Astyanax mexicanus: one gene and its partner. The protein of the gene in region 1 interacts with the protein of each later gene in a pairwise test. Links are inferred from orthologs where the notes say so. Each region holds a gene or a part of one and is shown on either strand. Other genes may lie near its edges. The genes, in order: lhx4 and chchd2.

The links.
Region 2: the proteins of lhx4 (region 1) and chchd2 interact in binary tests that used the Homo sapiens proteins (3 or more experiments, as listed by UniProt). The two-hybrid records come from large-scale screens. The link is inferred for Astyanax mexicanus from reciprocal best matches to the Homo sapiens genes LHX4 and CHCHD2.

What each region holds. Positions count from the first base shown.
Region 1 is NC_064419.1:9,338,126-9,350,360, reverse strand, and holds the start of lhx4 (LIM/homeobox protein Lhx4), read left to right. Parts: upstream 1-7,596; 5' UTR 7,597-7,607; coding exon 7,608-7,887; intron 7,888-11,810; coding exon 11,811-11,982; intron 11,983-12,235. UniProt on the Homo sapiens protein: May play a critical role in the development of respiratory control mechanisms and in the normal growth and maturation of the lung. Binds preferentially to methylated DNA.
Region 2 is NC_064411.1:44,408,466-44,421,287, reverse strand, and holds chchd2 (coiled-coil-helix-coiled-coil-helix domain-containing protein 2), read left to right. Parts: upstream 1-7,121; 5' UTR 7,122-7,277; coding exon 7,278-7,324; intron 7,325-9,369; coding exon 9,370-9,640; intron 9,641-10,201; coding exon 10,202-10,382; intron 10,383-10,785; coding exon 10,786-10,796; 3' UTR 10,797-11,059; downstream 11,060-12,822. Other genes in the region: serine/arginine-rich splicing factor 7, read right to left, coding at 858-930, 1,698-1,784, 1,875-1,919, 2,613-2,651, 2,926-3,006, 3,530-3,706, 4,351-4,580. UniProt on the Homo sapiens protein: Transcription factor. Binds to the oxygen responsive element of COX4I2 and activates its transcription under hypoxia conditions (4% oxygen), as well as normoxia conditions (20% oxygen).

The DNA of each region.
Region 1 (12,235 bases):
AAGTGAGTAATCCTGCTTTCCTTTGGGGCTGTGGGAGATTACCGGCGGGATTAGCTCCCACCCCCTAATAAACTTTATTAAAACGCAATCGGCTTTAGGGTCTCTCCTCGCCACACTTGGAGGTGGGCAGGACGCTCTGGGGTCAGGGTTTGAAGTGCGCTGGATTACACGCCGCTCTGAAGGACACGCTGCTTGATCTTGAGCTTTATGTTCCGTTTTGTTTTTTCCTCCCTGGAGCTTCTCTGTCCCCCCCCCCCGAGCCCCCAGGGACCCCCGGGACCTTTCTGCATCAGGGCCTTCGCCAGCTGCTGCTGCTTTTAAAGAGATGGCTTTGGGGAGTCAAGCGTCTGAGAATTCCTGAAGATGCTCTGATTCAACTTAGAAAGCAGGAGCCGTGAGGAGACGATCACAAACTCAGAGAATCTGATGATCAAAGCTTGATTAGAGCTCTTGAGTGGTGTAGCTGTTGAAGCTGAAGCCTCTGTCATATACAGGGGTTGGGCAATGAAATTGAAACACCTGTTATTTTAGTGTGGGAGGTTTCATGGTTGAAATTGAAGCAGCCTGCTGGCCAATCTTCATTAATTGCACATTGCACCAGTAAGAGCAGAGTGTGAAGGTTCAATTAGCAGGGAAAGAGCACAGTTTTGCTCAGAATATTGAAATGCACACAACATTATGGGTGACACACCAGAGTTCAAAAGAGGACAAATTGTTGGTGCACGTCTTGCTGGCGCATCTGTGACCAAGACAGCAAGTCTTTGTGATGTATCAAGAGCCACGGTATCCAGGATAATGTCAGCAAAACACAAAGAAGGACAAACCACATCCAACAGGATTAACTGTGGACGCTGTAAGAGGAAGCTGTCTGAAAGGGATGTTGGGGCGCTAAGCCGGATTGTATCGAAAAAACATAAAACCACCACTGCCTGTTTCCACCAGAGCTGTCCGTTGGGACAATAAATTATTGTGGTCTAAAACCAGTTGAATATTGTTTTTCCAATATTCTGTTGTCCGATTTTGGTGAGTCTGTGCGAATTGTATCCACAGTTTCCTGTTCATAGCTGACAGGAGAGGCACCTGGTGTGGTTCTTCTGCTGCTGAAGCCCATCCCCCTCAAGGTTGGACGTGTTGTGCTGATGTTTAGAGATACTCTTCTGCAGACCTCGGTTGTAACAAGTGGTTATTTGATTGAAGTGGTTATTCAGCTCACCTCTGACCTCAGGCATCAACAAGGCATTTGCGCCCACAAAACTGTATCTGCTCACTGGATATTTTCTCTTTTTCAGACCATTTTCTGTAAATCCTAGAAATGGTTGTGTGTGAAAATCCCAGTAGATCAGCAGTTTCTGAAATACTCAGACCAGCCAGTCTATTCTAATGCTCAGTTTGAAATGCAGCAGATCGTCTTGGCCATGTCTGCATGCCTAAGTTGCTGCCATGTAATTGGCTGATTCGACATTTGCGTTAATGTGCAGTTGGACAGGTGTACCTAATAAAGTTGCTGGTGAGTGTATACACATATATTATAGGTGCAATCTCTCACTAAAGGGTACACTACCCAAAAGTAGCCTATGAGAGCCTTTTTATAGGGCTGTAGAGGAAGCACTGTTACACGTTCCTGACAAACATATAGTGTACTATATGTATAAAAAGGTTTAAAGAGGCTCCTTTTGGGTAGTTTACCTCCTGGTGAGAGATCGTTAACTGCTAGATATGCCTCTGAGATGCACTCAAATACATTTTGCCCTGTTTACAGGTTTTGAGAGGAGGCACATCCTTGGATTGATTGAGAGATGCAGGATGGTCGATTTGATGAATTGCCCTTCATCTAGGCAGTCCAATGCCAGTCAAGATCCAACGTCAGGCCATCATCACCTTTATTTGCAGTGGTGTAATAAAGAGAACCTTGGAGTCACACAGATCATCGGAAATGGATCATCTCTAGCAACAAATCCTGGTTCTGTTTAAGATTGAACAAATGTTCAATTAGAGTATGGAAGCCTCAGGATGAGCGATTTAATCCTGCCTTTGCAGTGGAGTGACACACTGCCCAAACCACTTGGGTGTGATGATCCAGTGAACCATCGTATACAACCGTTGCTCACTACTAGTACTGATACGAGGAACACTAACAGCTCAGTAATATTTGTAGGACATCCTAATGATGTGTCAGGGATTCAAACTGGCAATTTTCAGCAGGACAATGCTCACCGACGACCACAAGGGTCTCCCAAAAATGTCTTTATTCGCCTGTCTGGTTGCCAGATTGGTCCCCAGTCGAGTATTTATGGAAGCATCTGGAACCTCAGTTTGGCCACCAGATCAACCAGATCAGTGTAAAGGATCTACAGGTCCAGCTTTAGCAACATCTGTGGGAAAATGTGCTGCAGGTTGCCATGCCAAACCTGTATAACTCCATGCCCATCCGTCTCAATCTCTTCTTGTATCCAGGGTACTAAAGCCTTATTTCAATTTTCCATTTTTTCCCCCAATAAACTTACATATATCATCATCACATTCACACACAGACAACAAATGGATCTGTGTGTGGAGCCACTGCAGTCAGCAACAAGATGAATGGTTTGTTTTTACTCAGGTCACATTTCCCCAAGGTCATAGTGTGGGGTGTAATTTCACATGATGTCAGATCACCTTTGATCTTCATCATAGCAACTTGGACTACTCAACGTTACATTGAAGAGGTCCTGCAACCAGTGGCCAATGGCCATATGCTTTCTAAACTCTAAACACTTACAGTAGGTGTGCTTTTCCAAAAGGACGATGCCACGACTCAGACCAGCTGTAAAGCATGGTGGAGGGGGCATCGTGGTTTAGCATTTATTAAGGGAATAATTACAGTAGTTCAACAGTGTCCTGAAATATTTACAAAAGCATATAAGGGCAACAGTACTCAAGCATTGCTAATACAATAGGACACTCTGGAGCAGATATCCAAGCATGAACCTATTGGCACCACTATGCCTAATGCTAGGCGTGGGCATACTTCAGTGTGTAATAAAGCCCCCAGCAATATTCTCTGGAATGATGGAGCACCATCCAATACTTTTGTATGGGATGAGTTGGGGATAAGGTAGGGTTGATGATCCAGATCCAGATCAATGCTCCAGAATCTACAAAGTCTTCTCTGGACAGTAGAGACAGTTACTCCAGCAAAAGCAGGATACACTATTGTTAATATCCTTGATTTCAGAAGATACAATAAGTGAGCTGGTGTCCCAATACTTTTGTCCCTATATTGTGTGTAAGGGACAGTAGTGTCTTAGCGGTGTTTACGACTCGGACAGCCTGTCTGCCTGTAATAACAAAAGCCTGGCACCATACACACTGCACATCTGTGTGTGTGTGTGTGTGTGTGTCTGTGTGTGTGTGTGTGTGTGTGCGCACGCTCAACATGAGAGTGAATTAATTAAGTAAAGAGATGAAAAGGGTTAATATATGATCTGCTTATCAGATTTCATCTTCAACCCCCCCCCCCCAACCACACACACACCAAATTTTACACTGAACCCTAAAACTGGAGGTAAACAGGGTCACATTCAAATGAAATGGTCAAATTCATCTCATTTTACTGCCTGACTCCTCCCCCTCATGCATAAAGCATACACACACTGAAGATTGGAAAGGAGGGGGGAGGTGTGTGTGTGTATGTGTGTGTGTGTGTGTGTTTCTTTATGTAGAATGAAACACACAGCTAAAAGAGTCATAATCTAAATTTGCTCTTCATTCTTATCTTCTTATATTCTTATCTTTAAACATCTTCATTCTTGTCTTGCCTTATTCTTCAATATCTAAACCCCATCTCAATCCATCTTATGTCTACACCATTATATCTACACTATTGCACTTTATTCCTACCTCATTTCTCCCAATTCTACATCTTTCCATTTAATTACTACCCCATTTTACCTCATTTGCACCCCCATTCCGTCCAGCTCTTACCCCATTTCATTGTCTTTACCATTACATTTCTCTCAATTACTACCTAATTCCACCCCCCATTCTTTGTAATTCCTACTCCATTTGAACTCATTCCATTTAATGCCTACCCCATTCCAACCCAATTCCATGCCATTTTTACCCCATTACATTTAATTCAATGTTTATCCCATTCCAACCCATTCTATTTATTTCTCACCCCATTCCATATCATTCCTACCCCATCCCAACCCATTTCATCAAATTTGTATCCCATTCCACCCATTCTATTTAATTCTCACCCCATTCCGAATCATTCCTACACCTTCCCTACCCATTTCATCCTATTTTTATCCCATTCCACCCATTCTATTTAATTCTCACCCCATTCCGTATCATTCCAACCCCTTCCCAACCCATCTCATCCTATTTTTGTCCCATTCCACCCATTCTATTTAATTCTCACCCCATTCCATATCATTCCTACCCCTTCCCAACCCATTTTATAACATTTTTATACCATTCCATTCAATTGCTTCCATATTCCGTTTAATTCTTACCCCATTCCCTCCCATTTTTTATTCCATTCTAACTAATTAAATTTAATTTCTACCCCATTCCAACCTATTCCATTTATTTGCTAACCCATTTCATATCATTCTCACGCCATTTCATATCATTTCTACCTGAAAATAACCCATTTCATGCTATTTTTATCCCATTCTAACCCATTGTATTTAAATGCTTGTTGTTGATTATTTGTCCTTCCACCAGATTCTGTATATCTGATTTGAGACAATTTCAAATATATCTCATACTCAAACTCTATTCTACATATTTGATTAAGAAAAAATCATTTCTTATTTTATGTGATTATATTATGTTTTTAGGTATTTCAGGACAAATAAATAACATGACGTTTTACATAAAACAGTAAAATGACATAAGTAGAGTGTATATACAAATATGTAACAATTCTAAAAGGAGTCGCTGCTCGAGCTTCCTCATCTTATAATTATCAAGTTGTAAATTTGCATTTGTTGGCCTGTGTAAGATGAAGATGAGGAAGGTGATGCAGAAATGGCAGACACGGTATGAATTAGTTCGGTTTCACCAGCAGCAGATCACTGAATGACTGATTAGATAATCCAGCGGCTCGAGGAGAACTGGAGAACTGGGAACACTGGTCTTTCTGCAGGAGAGCTGGAAATGGTTAGACACACTTTGTACACACATACTATATATATGTTTTTCTTTTTTAAATCATGTTATATTATAATTTGTTAATAGATATATTTATGTTAATTGTTTTTTTGCCTATATTCAAATATAAACAGTGGTGTTTTTTTTAATTCCACAAAAAACTTTAAAAAGGTTTAATTCCACGTGAATTTGCTTCTAATAAACCAGTCGCAGTCAGTGATCATAATAAATTAAATATTTATATAAAATACTAAAATGTTTTATATCACTAAGAGTTGCGCGCAGTGTTTATGTTGCTGTTCTTCCTCCGCGTGCCGTCAATTACAGCTCTACTGAAGATCGATACATTCAGCAGCTATTAAAACACGTGACCGCTCTATCTGACTGATGTATTAGATATTGATAGTGTATTTATTAATCGGGTGATGTGTAGGGGTTATATGTATATTTATGAACAATAGTGTATTGTAATGGCAGATATATTTGTATCTATGTTAGCGTCTGAATGTAGTGTGTATTCGGTACTCTATTGGTATTTCTGAGTATACTTAATTTGTATTGCAGCTTTAAGTTCTAGGTATTAGTACTGAGCTATATTCTGTCAATTTAAATATTTGTATTGTATTCAGTATCAAGACTAAGACATATCGAGTCCAAGTCAAGACCAAGATCCGGAGTGTCCGAGGCCGAGACTGAGACAATACATTTAGATTTAGATTTAGATTTAAAAAAAAAAGGAAAAAAAGCTTTGTAATTAATTGTACATGTATTATATGTACATTATATGCTGTACAGTAATACTTATATTTAAGTATGTATTCTACAGTATAACATTAAATAATATATAGAATAAAAGTTCAGTTAATAATAAATGCTACCCTCATACACACGTGCTGGATCAGGCAATGAGATCGAGCCCGAGACCAGACTGAGACCGCTCGTTTATGATCTCTAGGCTCGAGCTTACATATTAATATTAATGCAAGTAAGATAAGCGAGTGTATTAGAGACTGTTGGCTGAGAGGAGAATCTACATCCTGGTTTATCCGTGTTTTTTTTAAAGCTGATAACCGATCTATACAGAGTATAGCGCTATTTTTATTAACGCATCGTGGATATAAATTGAATGTGTGTGTGTATGTGTGTGTGTGTGTGTGTGTGTGTGTGTTGGGGTTTGTGTGTTAGGGGGAGGTTCTAGCATGAGTCTCCTCCTTCTATTATTAGAAAGCCCACAGATATCTCACACTTGTATTTATAAGCGCGCGCGGTAATAAGGTGCTACCGCATATATATTTGCCTATATATATATATATACTTTTATTAATTCTATATACATAATATTTACACACAATATACGACGAGGTGTTTTTTTTCGTTTTGTCTTTCAAATACACTAATACTGAATTATCAGTAATAATAATAATAATAATAATAATAATAATAATAATAATAATAATAGTTAAGCTTGTGATTCACACACGCACACATATTGTAATGTAATAATGATGATTGATAAAGGTGATTATGGTAATAGGTATGGTACTGATGACAGTAACTGGTAATACTAATTTATAATAGTTTATTTATAGTAATGATAATGGTGTTAATAACAATGATCATGATGTTTTGGTAAATCTGCTGATATTGGTATGTGTGATAGTGATGGTAATTGTGTGATGAGAATGATTATCATGCTGGTGTTTATGTTGATGTTGAATTGGATGATAATGAAATGGTGATGATTATGACATTGATAATAATATAAAGGATGGTGATGCTATAATGCTTAGAATAATGGAGTACAGTGGTGATGGCAATGATTACAGAGGTGAAGGTGAAAAGGACAGTCACACTAATGATAATGGTCTGTCTGTCTGGAGCAGCTGTAGGTAGGAATGTGTAACAGAGTGGAGGACAGTGAGTGATTAAAAACTCCAGCAGCACTGCTGCATCTGATCCACTCACTGTACACCCGCACAACACACAAACACCTCATACACCACCACCATGCTGATCAGTTCTAATTACTGCAGTGCTGAGAATAACGACCCACCCAAATAATACTACTAATAATAAAAATAAAAATAATAATAATAATAATAATAATAATAATAATAATAATAATAATAATAATAATAATAATAATAATAATAATAATAATAACTGATTTGTGGTGGTTTTCTCTACTGCGGATCCTGAGTATTAAAGAACAGAATAAAATGAGAAAAATAATAAAATATGCAGAGAATCAGATACAGAACTACAGTCTTATACATCTAAATAATGTCTTATATGATCAGTGCAACAGAATAAAATGGAAAAAAATGTTTTGAGAAATGTTCTGACTGGACTATTTATAATTCTCTCTCACTCTCGCTCGTCGTCACTTCCTCTCACCTGCGTGGGGCGCGCGCATCTCTCGTCTCTGCCCGGTGGTGACGTCACGCGCCCTGCAGTGGGAGTGGATGGATGGAGCCGAGCGGAGCGCACGCACACACACTGCCACACACGCGCGCGCACTTACACATACACACACATACCCGAACACACACGCGCACCCGCACACCCTGCACCGCACGAGCCCTTTACCGGCTGGAGCGCGCGAGCAGGAGCGGAGCCTAAGGAGCGCGAGCCCCAGCGCCGGAGACGGAGGAGTTTTACCGGCGCGCGCGCGAGGAGCAGGACAGGGGGCGAGGATGATGATGCAGCGCGCGGGACAGAGCGCGGACACGCGGGGACAACACCGTAAGAACCACACACGCGCACACATACATACCTCACACACACTCATACACACACACTCATACACACACCTTACATAAACTCATACACACACCTTACACACACTCCTATACACACACCTTACACACACTCATATACACTCCTCATACACACACCTCACCCCCACACACACACACACATACTCAGCTTGGTTGAGTAACACACGCACACACACACATCAGGTCAAATAGGTTTAATAACTAACTATTATTGATCATCATTTAATATACCCATAAAAATATCATGTATGATATAGAATTAATTATGAAGCTATAGAACACACGCGCACACATTTCGTGTATTGCATCACTGCTGACATTGATTCAGAGCAGCGTCACTGATATTCACTGATATTCACCAATACTACATTGCGATAACATTGATCATATTAATTATTACGATTGTATTGGTGACATCCGGATTATTTGTGCGGAACATTTATTATATTATTATGATTTTATTATAAGTAAGCGATCAGATAGTGTCTGAACAATACTAACCCTGCACACACACACACATATATAAAAAGACAACCAAGTCATAATTTATATTTTATTAAAATCAAGCGATTTAAAAATAAATTAATATCATATTGTTTGCTTTTGCATGAGTAAATTAGAGTAAATTGCAGGAAACACGCAGGCGCATCATTCATTCCGCTGCATGAGCTGCAAAAAAATTTCCACCCCCGAATGATTAAAATGTTACATTACAATATAAACCCGTTATTTAAATGCATTAAAACCGCATTTAATGATCTTTCATATAGCGTAAAATTAATGTCGCGCTCAATAACAGGTAATCTAACATCACTGCAGTTAAGCAACTGATAAAGCTTAAATATTACTTTTATAGTATATATTAATAATAGCATTAATAGTGTTTCTTAAAGTGGGAATTACCCATTATATTATTTATTCCCCTATATTCCATTAGTCCACAGCTGCTCTTCATTCTAATCTGGTTTAATCTGAAGCTGCTCCGGATCAGCAGATGGATTATTTAACGAATAAACACAAACAGTACACTGCTGTAAATATAAAATATGAGATATAAACACACTGCATTCACTTGATTTACTTGATTCTGATTCTAAACTCAAAACATTTAAAATAAACCGGGTTTCACTAACAATAAATTCTGCCGATCTGGTCCTGTTTATTTTATTTTAGGAACGCGCAGTAAAACTGCTCATTAATTACCTCAATTATGACTTATAAATGATAAATATTTTCTGTACAAATAAGCTCATATTAGACTAGATTTCAGCTCCAATCACAGCTATTATTCGTGCACCTTTAATTAGTGTATATTCTTATTCTTGTTCTTCTTATATACAGCTCTTATTCTGTTATTGGAACCGTTAACGTTGGTCAAGATTTTAATTTTCATGATTTCTAATCGATATTATTATTAAAGATTGCAATATTTGTTCTTTGGCGTAGTAGTATTTATTATTAGCGCCATAACTGTTATTAAGGACAATCATATTTGTAATAACAGTCCAATTTATAAACCTAAACATCTGTAATAGCACTACAGAAAGATATGATCAGATATGTTCGGGGTTATGGCTTTATGGTGGTGTTGTTATTTTGTTATTTACTTTTTTAGCGTGATTAGTTGTTAGAAATTTGTTGAATTAATGTTATTAAAAGTGTCAATAAAGAGAGGTATTAGTAGACCTGTTTTAATTTTTTTGAAAAAAAAAAAAAAAGTATATTGTTGAGGTTTTACCTGTAAATTCAGAGTCCTGTGTACACATTCAGATGATTTTAGGTTTGAGACAGATTATTTTAGATTTTTTTTTTTCATTAACATATGAGTTTACAAAACAATACATTTATTAACGCAAAAAAAGGAATTCTAAAAAATAAATCTAAACCTCAAAAGGGTTTATCTGGTATTACGAGCAAAAACAAAAACGTTATAGAACCTTTTTTTCAGTTCTGTACAGTACAGTAGTGAACCTGTAGACAGTTCTGCAGAGAAAACTGTGTCAGGTGTAAATCTAATACAGGAGCAGGAGAGCGCGGACGGCGCGAGCAGTGACCGTTCAAAATGAAGAACATCCGAGTGCTGAGTATTAATAATAATAACCTGACAGTAAAGAACATTTAATATACGTTCATTGTTTGGTTGTGTTATGTCGTTTAATGCTGATGATGGAAAAGGAACATTTAAACAACCTTTATTTAATATTGACTCATGGGCATCAGTTACAGTTAGAATTTTGACATTTAATCCACGTTTTTTGGGGCTATTTAACACTCAATGATTTTATGCGGAAGGTACTCCCCACAAATAATAATAATAATAATTATTATTTCAAATTCGCTTTCGGCACTGCAGGGACACAGTACAATCATATAAAAGAATGGAATACAACATGTGTGTGTGTGTATATATATATATATATATATATATATATATATATATATATATATATATATATATATATATATATAGATAGATAGATAGATAGATAGATAGATAGATAGATAGATAGATAGATAGATAGATAGATAGATAGATAGATAGATAAGAAATACGTATTTGATTATATAAGTTTTATACTAGGAATAACGCTTAAATATGTTAAATCAACATCTTAAATAAAACATCTGATCAACGTTATTTCAATGCATTGGAACGTCGGTTTAACATACATTTGCTATCTGAGTATAATGCTAATGCTAATAATAACAGTAATAACAATTTTAAGCCAATATTTCCAGCACTATTAATAAAACACCAACTCAAATATTTGCACTAAAGCACTGCTATTATTAAACACTAAAATTAATATCAGTATTAATTGGTTGTTTGTTTAAAGGCTCAGTATTATTCTCTGATCGCCACGCGCACACACTCACACTGAACCAACATAACGGGTTATTTACATTATTTAAATAAATAAATAAATTAACATCTTTGGTGATGAATAAGGTGTGTGTATCAGTCAGGCGATGCTAGTAGTGTTTGTTGAGGTATTTTACAGGTGTGTGTTATCAAGTGTAAACGCTTTAAATCCGGTTCATTGTGTTTAGATTTGATCTCCCGATTTGACGGCGTTTCTGTGTATTTTCTGTGTATCCGCGCGCGCGTCTTGTCGTTATGAGCACAGGTTGCGGGATGTGTTATTGATTATGAATGATAAATCTGATATTTACCGCGCCGAGCTTTTCTAATCTTTGATCGATTAAAGCGGCTTTAGTGCACTCAAACCAAAACACCCACCTCATACCTCACACACACCTCACACACACATCACACACCTCACACACAAACATCACACACCTCACACACATTCAAAGATAAAAACACTTTATACATATTGAATATCAACAGTAATAACAATACAAAAATATAATACGCTATTTATAGAGCATCTCAAACTGCTTTACTGTATTGTGAAATACACACGTAATTAAATGTAAAAACAGTTTATTATTATTATTATTATTATTATTATTCGTAGTGGTAATAGTAATCTAATCATTCCTATCTTTTCATCACCACCATCAACTATTTAACAATATAATATTAATATATTCATTTAATATTTTAGATTATTCGTGTTTACGTTCTGATCTACAATTCAAAATGATTATAATAAAAATGCAGTGTGTTATATTCAATTTTACTGTCTATTCTGGGAACACACATGCACGCACACACACACAATCCACTCATTCTCATTCACACACATTCTTTAACACACACACACACACAGATCTGGACAGAATAAATTAGGCAATAGAAGGATGGGACTGGATCAGAACGTGTGTTTTACTGAACAGGTAAATAATAAAACAAATAACAGCAATGAATAAACCTTTCACATCTGTGTGTATGTGTGTGTGTGTTCGTGTGTGTGTGTGTAGAGTTGCCGGAGTGTGCGGGCTGCAGTCAGACGATTCTGGATAAGTTTATTCTGAAGGTTCTGGACCGGCACTGGCACGCTCAGTGTCTGAAATGCTCAGACTGCCACACTCTGCTGGCTGACCGCTGCTTCTCCCGCGCTGGGAGTGTGTACTGCAAAGAAGACTTCTTCAAGTAAGAGAACACCCAGTACACCTCATCCTGTTATAAACACACTATTACACATCTATTACATGTCTCAAAAAACTACACCAGCCAAAGCACCTGTTACACACACTTTATCACACATCTATTACATGTCTCAAACACCTACACCAACCATACCACCTGTTATACACACTGTATTACATATCTAATACATGTCTCAAACACCTACACCATCCATAACACCTGTTACACACACTTTATTACACATCTATTACATGTC
Region 2 (12,822 bases), on another chromosome or scaffold:
ACCAGAGCTGAATAAATTCTATCAGGATACAGTTGACAGAATTTTACTGGACTATATCCAAAATTCAATCTCTATAATGCAAATTTCTTACTGTTAGAAACTCTATTATTAGCTATGAATTTTTGAATGGTAACAATACTGTATCTTTAATAAAAACTTTTACAATTTATTTACATGGAGTTTCACTCTCTCTTACCTAACATTACATTTTTACTGATGAGATCAGAAATCAAGTTTTAGCTAATCAAATCAATCAGGGGTCAGTGATCAATCATGCTCTTTAAAATGGTATTTAGAATAAAAAAAGGAGAAAATTAAGGGGACAAGTCGACAAGAGCATGTTAAAAACAATGTTGAAATGGAGGCCTTTTCAATTATTCACTCACTCATTCACAGCGGTGTTAATCAGTGCATGCTCTACACACACTGCATAAAGCAAATGTTTACAAAAGAATCTGGATTTTACTGTAAACCAGGGCTCATATCAAGAAGGACATTAACTCTTGGGTTTTGGTTACCTTTAGGAGACAGTGGCGGAAACAACATACAGAGAAGCGACGGATGCTAGAACTCGAAGACACACTCGGAGGGTCTTGAAGTCTGATCTCTCGCCAGTTCTCTCTCCTCTCTCTCTCTCACAACCCTTCTCAGAAGCTAAGCAAGAAGGCGGAGCTTTGGAGGGAAGGGGGGCATTCTGGTCTGCTGTAGTAGTAGTAGTAGTAGTGCATAGGTTCGGGATAGGAGTGGGGTGGGTGGAACAACTGTTTGTGTACGCGCAGGAGGTGTCTTGTCAGAACTGTGCGTCGGACGATCTCTAAATCACCGTGGCGGAGGCTGATCTCAGGTTAGCTCTTTTGTCACCCTCCTGGAGGACGTTTAACATGGCAAGGATGAACCCTGGTCAGTGCTTGAGCCGTCGACTCCCACACTCTTTAGAGAAAAACAAGAACAGCCTGCAGCAATTGGTCACCGCTGTCTGATCATGACATTTTTTTTTGGAGATTTGCGATCTCGGTCACCCTCTGTAGCTAACCAACATGAGGCTGAATCTGAGGGAGAAGAGAGAAGAGAAGATTCCCCAAGTTTTATCACACGTCCCTCCCCTTACCGCCCTTGGCCTTTAATAATATACTGGCTCTTGGAGTCTAGGCTCATGAGGTGTATGTGTGTGAGTTAGCTCTGAACCTAAGTGTGACGTGGACAAGACATTTTAGACTGTAATCTCCAAAAAGGGATTTTTCAAGTTCTTAATGAAGTGGGAATGGGCTGGGCTTGTTTTTGGAGTGTGTCAAAATCCCTAGCCTCTAATTTTCCGCCTTTCCTGCACCTGCTCGGTCCATCCATCTCCGTCGAAGGGTCTCCATCTGCTTGGTCAGGCTAAAAGACTGGCTTACCTCAGATGTAAGCTGGTCTTCCAGGGAAAACTGTGTGCATGTATGGTGGCCTAATCTCAATTTAACCAAAATAATTTGTTCTGACTAAGAGCAGCCAAGTAATCTGAGCTATTCATAAAGGCTAAATCACTTCCTTAATATGTGATAGAAATGTATAGGGACTATAAAACATTCTAATCGACATATTTTATTATATACAAACATGCTTTCAAACAATTAAATAATAGAGCAGAAAAAATATAAGGTCATAAAAGTAACAAACTAGCAGATATTATAATACAATGATTGACACCAAAAAGTTACCTGTCCCTCTTAGCGTTGGGTGTGCGAGACCTGGATCGAGAGCGAGATCGCGAGAAAGATCTGGACCGAGAGCGAGACCGAGACCGACTGGAAGGAAACAAAATCAAATGGCAGTTTGAAATAAGGGCTGATTCTGGACAGAAAAAAAGTAAAATTGGTTTGAGACTGATTCCTTACCTCCGAACAGGAGTCCTGGACTTGGAGCGGGCTGGAGTACCAGACCTAGGATTAGGATTACGATTAGGGTTGTGATTTTGACTGGAAAAATGGAAGCGTATTACTTTTTTAGTTAAATGATTAGTCAAACTGTGTGCTACACTACACTTTGATAAATCAAATGCGATAAAGCATTCAGCATCACTGATCACAGCATTTACTTATCAAAAGACTGTCTGTCTTTGTAAAAACTTTAAAGACACAAATAACTTGGGTAGCAGTGCTAAAGTAAATATATGACAAAGATAAAACGCCTCACATAAACATATGACTAAAAATGATTATTACAGTATTGCTGGTATTAATATATCGTTCTTTGCTGGTATATGTGCTGGGATGTAAAAGTGATAATTTTGGTGCCTCACTGAACATTACTGGAAAAAAGGTATTTGTTTATTAATAAAAACCAAACACATAAGGACTGTAACAATTTTAAAATGCAAAAAAAAAAAAAAGCAAAAAAAAAAAAAAAAAGATTACGCTGACAATACTATTCCTTATTACTATTATAAGAACTGTACCGCGCCTCTACTTCTGCTTTGTATTTGATTATTTTCATGCAACACCAAGGTTAAGCATAATACCATAAATTAAAATCAAAAATATGTCCTCAGGTGCTTTAGCAGAGTAAAAACATTATTAACATTTGCAATGACTGATACTGCCACAGTTATCTAACAGCAAGTCACAACAGCTTACCTGCTCCTGCGTTTTGAATAAGATGGAGAATGGTATCTCCTGCAAAATTAGAAAAGAAAATATGTAAAGTTTTGAAAGTTTTAATAGTTTCTACAGGCTTCATCTACTCATTTAAAAAAGTGGGGTAAATTCTGTTTTCTAATAAGAGAGCTCTAATCGGGCCACACAGTCCTTAAAATTATGACCTACTGTAATAGCACCTAATATGCCACATTCAAATAATTAAATGAATAGACTTCACTTATTTTTTTTAATTATTCTAAGTATTAAACACAATTCAGTTTGAATATAATAATTTTTAAAAATGTTCTACCGTTCATTGCTGCGGCTTCGGGAGCGTGAGCGGTTGCGTCGTCCCCTGGACCTGGACCTGGATCGAGAGCGAGATCGAGACCTACAAAATAAACAAAACTTGTAAAATCGCAAATATAGCTTTTTTTTTATCATCTGTCATCCCTTAATAACAACAATAACTTAATAATAACAATGTTAGTTTCTTGCTCTCTGCTGGTAGTTTGATAGTCATATTTTTGATAATTGTCACACACAGCAAATTCTTACTCTGTAACATTTACCGGTTTAAAAATCTATATACACTTGTCATACACTTATGTTTCACATCTGTTTTAGAAGTGTCTCTCCGTTTTTAGCAAAATTCCAAAGATATTGCAAAATATCAGAAGACTGACATTGAAAGTGATGAATTGTGTTGAAAAGATAAATGTTAAGGCCAACAAAAGACCACCAGACTTAAAAACCTTTGAGACCTCACGATCATTTTGAAAAATATGAAACAAAATGTATCCAAAGGCTATATAAAGTTTGCACACAGTGAAGAAGTGTGTGGGAAGTAATTAATCTTCTTATTCAAATACCATAACAATGTGACAGTCTAGCTTCATTAGTGATGGTTTTACCTGCTACGACGCCCCCTTTTGCTGAAGCGGTAACAGTCATAAGCGTAGTGTCCTCTGTCTCCGCACTGATAGCAGCGATCATTTGGGTCAAACTGGCGGCGGTTGGGTCGACCAAATCGGCTTTTCCGGGACATGCCGGTGGACAGCTCGACGCGAATCCGAGATCCACAGAGAACCCTAAAAAAGGATATGGACAATAGAGTTGATGCAGAACTGCCTGATGTATTTTTCTTATGGTCACTTTAATTAATTACCTTGATTATATCTAATAGGTATTGACCTAAAATATGTGGACTTTTGTTAAAAGTCCAAAAAATATGGTCCATACATTTTTACTATGTGAATTATTTCAGAATTCTTCTAGAAGCAAGCATCAAGCTGCAAGTTGATGAATGACTTCCAACCAAATATTAATGTCCTTTGTCACAAACACTGTATATGTATGTTTGTTTATCTTTAAAAAAATAACAGTTAAAAATGCATTTATTATAGTCATGCTATTCAGGTTCATAATGAATATACAGAAATTTCTAACCACATCTGTAGAAACTGTACAGTATATGAGTAATTGCTTTACTTTTTGTGTCTTAAATGTGGCATTTTTGTTTTCTTTAATTGCATGCTAAATTGGTCTGTAAGCTGGTTTTTTTTAAATAGAAAACAGAATTTGATAAAAATGCAATATATAAAAAGTGGAATGGTAAGAGAAATATAATATATATATATATATATATATATATATATATATATATATATATATATATTTTTTTTTTTAAAGAAAGAAATTTCCAAATAACTCTTTTATTCATTGATGCACCTACTTTCCATCCATTCCTTTCACAGAATCCTCTGCATCCCGGGCATCTTCATACTCCACAAAGGCAAAACCAGGTGGGTTCCTTGCCACCCAGACACTGCGCAGAGGGCCGTAGTAGCTGAAAGCTCTCTCCAGCTCAGCTTTAGCAGCTCCACTGCCCAAATCTCCAACGTACACTTTGCATTCCGAGTTGCGGGACGAGCCGCGAGATGATGAGGAGGAATAGTAGGACATCCCTCACCTTATCTGAAAAAAAAAGAAAACACAACAATTAATGACTTAACAATATGAAAAAAACACTATTTGTACAATTGTCAACATCAGACACTATTATTTCATTATTTTTTTCCTTTTATTGTTTTGAATTTAAATGTATTTTTTCACATTTATTTGGGTTTTCGTATTAACTGTATTATTCATACTGGCGTGTTTTATGACATTGTGCACTACCAGTCAAACGTTTTAGAACATCTCTATTTGTAGTAGTCCAGTAATTAGCAGTGCTGTATTGCCCAGACAAGCTGCTTTTTATTTTCTTATTTTACTGCATTTCACCTGTCAGACCTATAATTCTTCTCTTCACTGAGACTTAGTCCATTGTTAGGCGAAACTAAATGTGTTGCCATGGAAGTCAGTCAGACGTTATACTGTAACGTTACAAGTTTTCTCAAATTTCAAAGAGTTTTTTAAGGTGTAGGAAACAGTATTCACCGCTCTCTGGTTCCCTCTGTAATTTCTCTAAAAATAAATATTTATACTTCCAATAGTTACAAAGGTATCTGTGTTTCTGTAAAAACGAAAGCAAGAGAAGCGGAAAGAGCTAAAGGATTAGCTGTTCTGTCTCCAATTTAAAACACACAAAATACAGGTTAAATGTACACTTTCCAGCTGTTTATATTGACATGTTATGGCTTAGGTCTGGTTGTTTATAGGTTAACGTTAGTTATATTGTTTTGTGTTCTGTATGAAATTCTATGTGTTGCTTTTAGCTAACTATAAGAATAATAAATGCGACTCCTGCCAAATTTCCAACGATAACATTAGCTAGCTAGGCTAGCTGGGCTAAAGCTATCTAGTTTGGCTAATGCTAGCTAGCTAAGTGGCTAACAAACTCGACAGGCTGAATAACAGTAAATCTCACCTCTTTACTTTATTATTATATCCAGTGTTCCGTAGCTTCATTAAACAGCGCACTGTAAATAAAATAGCGCGATGTTTTTTAGATTAATAACAGACATCAGACACAAAGGAGCTGGATAGCGCTATCCGCTCTCTCCGAAGCTCAGAGGGAGGATCAGTCTGACAGCAGGAAGCGGAAAAGCGATGTATCATTCATTTTATTTTATTATAAAAAATTAACAAAACTGTAAGGCATTATTAAGTTATGAGACAGCGATATACTATTATATAAGACACATTTACACAATCAAGCAACAAAACAATAAAAATAACTTTTTTATTAACAGATTAAATAATAAATGATCTGATAAAACAATTATTTAAAACAATTAAAGACAATTAAAAATAATATTTTATGGCACCTTAATAGTAGTGTTTTCTATTAATTAATAAAGGTCTGTATCACTTTTAGATTTCATTGTATATATTTATTAAAATTAACATTTAAAATAAACATTTTTTAGTTTTCCACTAAATTGGAATTACTTTGTGGCTTAATATAATGTTTACACTTTATATATATATATATATATATATATATATATATATATATATATATATATATATATATATATATATATATATATATATATAAATGTTTATACATTATTTTAAACTCAATTCTTAAGTACCAAACATATTTCCTTGTTGGTGTATTTTTTCAGTAGATATTTAAAATAGATATTAATCATATTTCCTTATTTGTTTGGTATTTATTTATCTCTCAATAAGACCATTGGTCATTCTATGTTTATATGTATGTGTCCCAAACTTGTATTGTATATTGATATTACAATTAATACAAATATTTTCCACTTCATGCACCACCCTCTGACATTAGACTGCTCTCCGTAGACAGGAGTTTACTATTTATTACTGTGTGCAATAAAACGTTTTACCTATTGCTGCTGTTAGTGCTGCTCTATTATGTAATATCTAAATTAAAGAGGACTGGCATAGTCATAGTTTACCACCACCATCACTATGTGCATATGTATTATATTTCTATATTCTGTTGTATATATAGTAAATTAGTAAATATAGTATATTTATTTGTATATTTACTTTTTCTGTTCATCCATCCGTTCTGCTGTAACATTGCACATCATATATGTTATTAATGTTTATGATGAATCTTCTACTTATTCTTCTATTTATTTATCTCTCAGTAAGACCATTGGTCATTCTTTATTTTTATTTATGTGTCCCAAACTTGTAGTGTAAGTTATATTGTTATTACAAATTTTTGACTCTGTCTAGCAAACCAAAAATGGTTGGACTTTAACAATATATCAAGTATTGTCTTATACAGTAGTGTACACATTATCCAGACAGAAAACATATTTCCAGAATGTAAATTTACAAAAGGTTCTGTTTGTGTGTGTGTGTGTTTTTTTTTAAGGAATCTGAAACACCTGATAAATGACATTCAGGTCGTGTAGTTTTAGTAAAGCCCGTAATAATTAAAGAACAAATTAGAACAGATCAGAAAATAACTGAAAACACTGTAAATTTAAGAAATAAAATATTTTTAATCTACTTTTATATTGAAAGGCCATGTGATGTAACTGATATAACATGCTGGAAAGTTCCCCGGATGTTTCGTGTTAGCTAGCAGACAACCAGAAGGTCGAGCAGAGACTCAGGCAGCTAGGGAGCTTATCTTAGTTAACTACCTTAATTCACACAATCTCTAGTTAATAGAGAGACTCAGAGTTTAAAACTTGGTTGTAGTTTATTATATCGTTCAAAATGCCGAGAGGAAGCCGCAGCCGAACCTCCAGGATGGCTCCCCCGAGGTGAGATAACTGAAGCCGGGTTAGCAGCGGCTAATAGCGGTTTACCTGATCTGTCAGCTCAGCTAGAGGACCAGGCTTCAGGGATTTAGCTTAGCTAACCTACAGTAACGCGCTGTTTACATATTAACACTGTAGCTAAACTGCATGAAAGAGATTATTAAAAAACACGTTAAGCTCATAGTGTAGCAGGTAACGTTAAGGGTTAGAATAAATATGGTTGTACCATGTTGGCCACTGTAAAGGTTAATAATCTATTTTAAGGACATTTGGGGTTAAATAGGTAATGGCCCAAAGTAAAATTTGTTATTTTTGAGTAAGTTAACCCAGCGTTTCTCAACCTTTTTTCTATCACGGCACCCTTTAAATATATGCGAGATGTCAAGGCACCCCAGTTTACGGACGGGGGGTGGGGGTGGGGGGGGGGTGCTGGCGCAGTACTTCAGGTGAGAACGAGGGGTGTTGCTGGCGGAATATGAAATAAAATAGCGCGTGCATCGCGTGGGGGGACAAAAACTTTACAGTGTGTCCCAATTTAGGGGCTGCATCCTTCAGAGGCTGTATTCGAAGACAGATTGCGTCACAGCTGCGCAGTAATACACCGCCTCTGTGGGTCGCATCCTTCAGAGTATGCTGCCTGTGAATTGGGACACACCCCGACACGAGCTGACTCTGGGAAGGAAATATGCACGTGAGGCGCAATATTTTGACGGCACCCCCGATGAAGCCAGACGGAACCCCAGGGTGCCGCGGCACCCTGGTTGAGAAACACTGAGTTAACCCGTATGATAAACAACATGGCCATCCCAAGCTTGATCAAAATCAGGCCAGATTTTTTGTCAATTGTCTTCCTGACATTACACCACTAAATTTCTAGAATTTCTATTCAAGCATTACATAAAAAAGCGTTCATGTTTAATAAGGAACATAACGGAAAAGCGTACTTGTAATAGAACATATAAAAAGTTTGAGTAAATTTGCTAATGTCAAAATTTAATGAATAAAATCCTAAAATTAGCTTTATTTAAAAATCAATGTTTTTCAGAATACAAATCTGAAAAATCCTCAAAATCCCCCCCCCCCCCCCCAATAATCTTTATCCATTTTTTACATCTGTTTTCAAACATGCAGAATTTGTGTTGATTCCTGTTACTGAAATTGGAATTATTAAGTGGAGTAGAGAGTGAACAGGCAGCTTCTCCTGTAGCAGGTTTCAAAGCCCTCAAATGTTCAGAATGTAAATAAGTTAGTTTACTGCAGACAAAAAGTGTTTTGTATCACCTACACCTGTAGCCCGTTTATGGAACAATGCATTTTAAGGAGTTAACTCTGGATGGTTTAATTTGGTGGTTTTATTTCATATGATATAATCTTGATTGTAACAGTAAGTAAGCTTATAATCCAACATGTCATGATACTATATAAAGCACTCCATATATCCAGGACTGAAGTATATATCCAGTATTATATAATAATGATATAATAATATTTAATGGGGAATAAAAAGAGTGTAAATATTTTTGCTACAAAAAGCAAAAAAAGTTGTCTTGTACTGGCCCGTATGGCCCTAAAACAATATCACAATATTTCAGGGTATACAATATGGCACACTCCTAACCTTAACCCTCAAAGACCAGACCAAAATCATGGTCTAAATGGAGATTGGCTTGGATACTCCAGATTTTACACTGAAAATGTAATATTAAAGACATTAAAGCTATACAGGAACACATGCAGAATTATTTTGTAAAGGAAACGTAGCAGATACCAGAATATGTTTTATACTTTAGATTCTTCTAGTAGCCACATTTAGCTCCAGCTCATCCCAAATCACCATCTCAGCTGATCATTTTTAGGTCAGGGGGTTGTGGAGGCCAAACACTTGTTTGCTACTTGTTTTCTGCATGATTTCACATGCGTCCATTAACATGTTTTGATGTCTTTAATAATAGTCTGAAGTGTAGAAAATAAATTAGTTATAAAAAAAAAAATCAGCTTTGTACTTATAAACAAAGTGTGATTGACGCATGTTGATCTGTTCTCCACAGCTACTCCTCCCGCCCAGCACCATCACCCCCTCCAATGGCCAGAGCTGCACCTCCTCCATCCTATGCACCAGCTCCTGCCCCTCCGTCTGCTGTGGCTGCTCCTGCAGCAGCACCTAGACAGCCAGGGATGTTTGCCCAGATGGCTACCACTGCTGCGGGCGTAGCAGTTGGCTCTGCCGTTGGACACACTATAGGCCATGCCATGACCGGTGGCTTTGGTGGTGGTGGTGGTGGAAGCTCAGAGGCTGCCAGGCCTGATGTCACCTATCAGGTAATTACTGTATATCTGGCAACCTTGGGTAACCCATAATACATGGTAAACATCTGTCACTAACTATAACTAGCTAAATGTAGCAATTTTAAATACTGTGAAGTATTATTTCAACTGACTCGATAACCATTAGGTATAACCATAATGCATCACCCTCCTTTTTGTTTTTGCTAGCTTAGCAAAGCTATAGTGTGAATTATTGAAATGTGTAAATAATTTATTCTCTATGTATGGAAGTAATTCACAAAACAAGATGTATTTTAATTTATGTGGCCAGCTTTCTACATTTTATACATTTGTTCATCTTTTCAAGTAACATTAACTTCACTAAAGTAGCTTACTGAATTTGTGTTTGACATCTGATATGTTTGAACTTTTTTTTTTTAACTTTTCTATCAAAGATAAAGATTTTTTTTTTTACAATAATTTATTTGTCATATAACATTTGTGGGATAAAACATTATTTCAAGTAAGAAAATAGTATTTTAAACACTTCAATTTACTTTAGTTATGTGTGAAAAATAATTGGGAACTTTATTAATTGCTTTATTAATCCCGCAGGAACCCTATCAGGCTCAGCCCATGTACCAGCAGCAGCAGCCAATGTATCAGCAGGACCAGGCACATCAGAACCCCTGCTCGTATGAGCTCAAGCAGTTCATCGAGTGTGCTCAGACACAGAGCGACCTCAAACTCTGCGAGGGATTTAGTGAAGTGCTCAAACAATGCAAATTCTCCAACGGTATGTTTGTGTGATTTTTTTTTTTCCCCTTCAGTCACTACAGTGAATCAAATAAAACTACAACATATTAATATGAATGTAGTCTATTGTACTGCTAAGTCAAATCAGTCTGAATGTATGATTACAAACACTACTGTGTCATTATTTAGCCTCTATTTTTGCATTTATATATATATTTATTTATTTATAGTCGATGCTTAGGTAAGGGATCATTAATATTTGATGCATATTATATAACACAGTTATGGTATTTTATTATACTGACAAAATGAAATGTGTATTGCACCTTTAGTGGGCACTGTCAGTCTTACTGAATAGCTCTGAAGTTGTTCATTGTAACATATTATTGTGTTCACCATTGTGTTTCACATATTTACTTAATTTCTCTCTCTCTTTTTTTTAGGGATGTCATGAGTTTGCAGTTTGTGACTGGAAAAACACATTCTACATCAGTAATACAGTTTAATTAAAGAAGAGTGCAAGAAGAGACCTAACATTGTTACTATTTCTGTTAAGGAACCATTGTAATTATGCTGTATAAGACTTGTGTGTAATAGATATGTACATTTTAATGATGGCAATGATTCAATGCATATTTTCAGCTTTCTGTAGTTTCAGAAATGTAATGTTAATGAACAACAAAAAAAAAACAATAAACTATAAAACCACTCTTTGAAGCTGTTGTTCCCCTTCTTGGCACTTGCTCCACAAGAGAACACAACAAAATGTGTATAGTTCATTTTGCACATGGCAGCAGGTGCTGGTGGTGATGAGCATTTTCAGCTTTCCTCAATGTTTAGTGTATAAGCAAGCTATGCTGTCATGTTACTAAAAAACCTGAACTGTTGCAAAACTCTGGAGGGCATATTCTTCTTCCCCCTGCTGCCCAATAAAAACTCTGGGTAGCCCACCTCTTGGTCTGAGATCATTGGCTACTAGGCATGCCTCTACATAAAATCGAAGATTGACAAAGTTGAACAATGGATTTACGTTTGGACTGAGAGAAGCAGCCTTTTCGTATTTTTAAGCAGGATAATGCTTGTACACACACAGTAAAAGCCAATTTATACATTGCCTACGGCCTAGTCAGCAAGAGTGCTATGCAGCAGGGCACGTTTGTCTGTGTGCATACGTCTGTGAGCCAGTATTGCACTGGCAGCGTCCAGAAACCCCAAAATACCTCACAATTTTCCTACCAATCCTCCTCTTCTCTTCTGTGACCTGGCAACTGATTTTGTGACGCCATCTTGCCACCTGCCCGAATACCAGAGAGAAGACGAAAGAAGCTGCTTAAAATCCTCCTGGAAAAGTCTTTTAACAGAGGATACAGCACAGCATCCCACCCAGGAAATGGTTTAAATAATTTGTGACATCACTGTGGCCATGCCCATAAAGCACCTGAGCCCACATTTTTTAAATCCAATAATTACTTATTTATTCATTCATTTTTTTTATTGTACAACTTTATAAAAAACACTTACATCATCACTTATTATGAACAAATAAAAAAGAAAAAAAGAGATAAATAAAACAATATGTTCCAGTTATGGAAAAATATTTGAATGCTGTGAATGTGCATTTCTGTTTGTAATGCACAGAAAATAAGACACTACTATCCTAATATAAAATCAATATTACAATAAACCAAAAAACCTTTTATTCATAAACATGATAAAAATGGTTTTAAATTACAAATAATTAGTAAAAATGAGTTTGCATTACTTTGCCTCATTTGTTCTGTAGTGATGACATGCCCTGATGTCTAAGTTGCTGTTTGTTATTGGTCACTGCAGTGGGCGGGGCTATCTGTGCAACAAAACATTAAAAAAAAACTACATGTACATGTCCATTGTAATTGATGCCCGGTCTGAAAGGGTTCAAATATTTTTTTCAATATCCCTTAATAATAACTCAAATTAAACAATAAAATATTTTAATACTACAAATTGTTCATTATCAACAATTATACAGTGTATTTGTTATGTAAGTGAATTATGACTGGACCAGCAGCAAGCTTTATCTGTATACTCTGCTATTCTATGCTATCAGGGGTGTGTGTGTGAGTGTGACTGAGGCTAATCAGAGTCCTGGGAGGTGTGTGTGTGTGTGTGTATATATATATATACGTGTGTGTGTGTGTGTGTGTGTGTGTGTGTGTGTGTGTGTGTGTGTGTGTGTGTGTGTGTGTGTGTGTGTTCAGGCGTGAGCTAGCAGCTCCATGTTTAATAGCTGGAGCTTTTTTATTTTTGGGTGCTGACATTCTCGCTTGCCCTTTCTGTGTCCCATAGTGTGTGTGTGTGTTTATGTGTGTGACCGGCTTTTAGCCTTAGCCGTCGTTTCGTTTGCTAGACAGGCGGAGAGCATCGAGTCAAACCATGAAGTGACTGGAGGATAACAGCTGATATATAAGCTAATATATCACACTACTGCAGTGACTGAG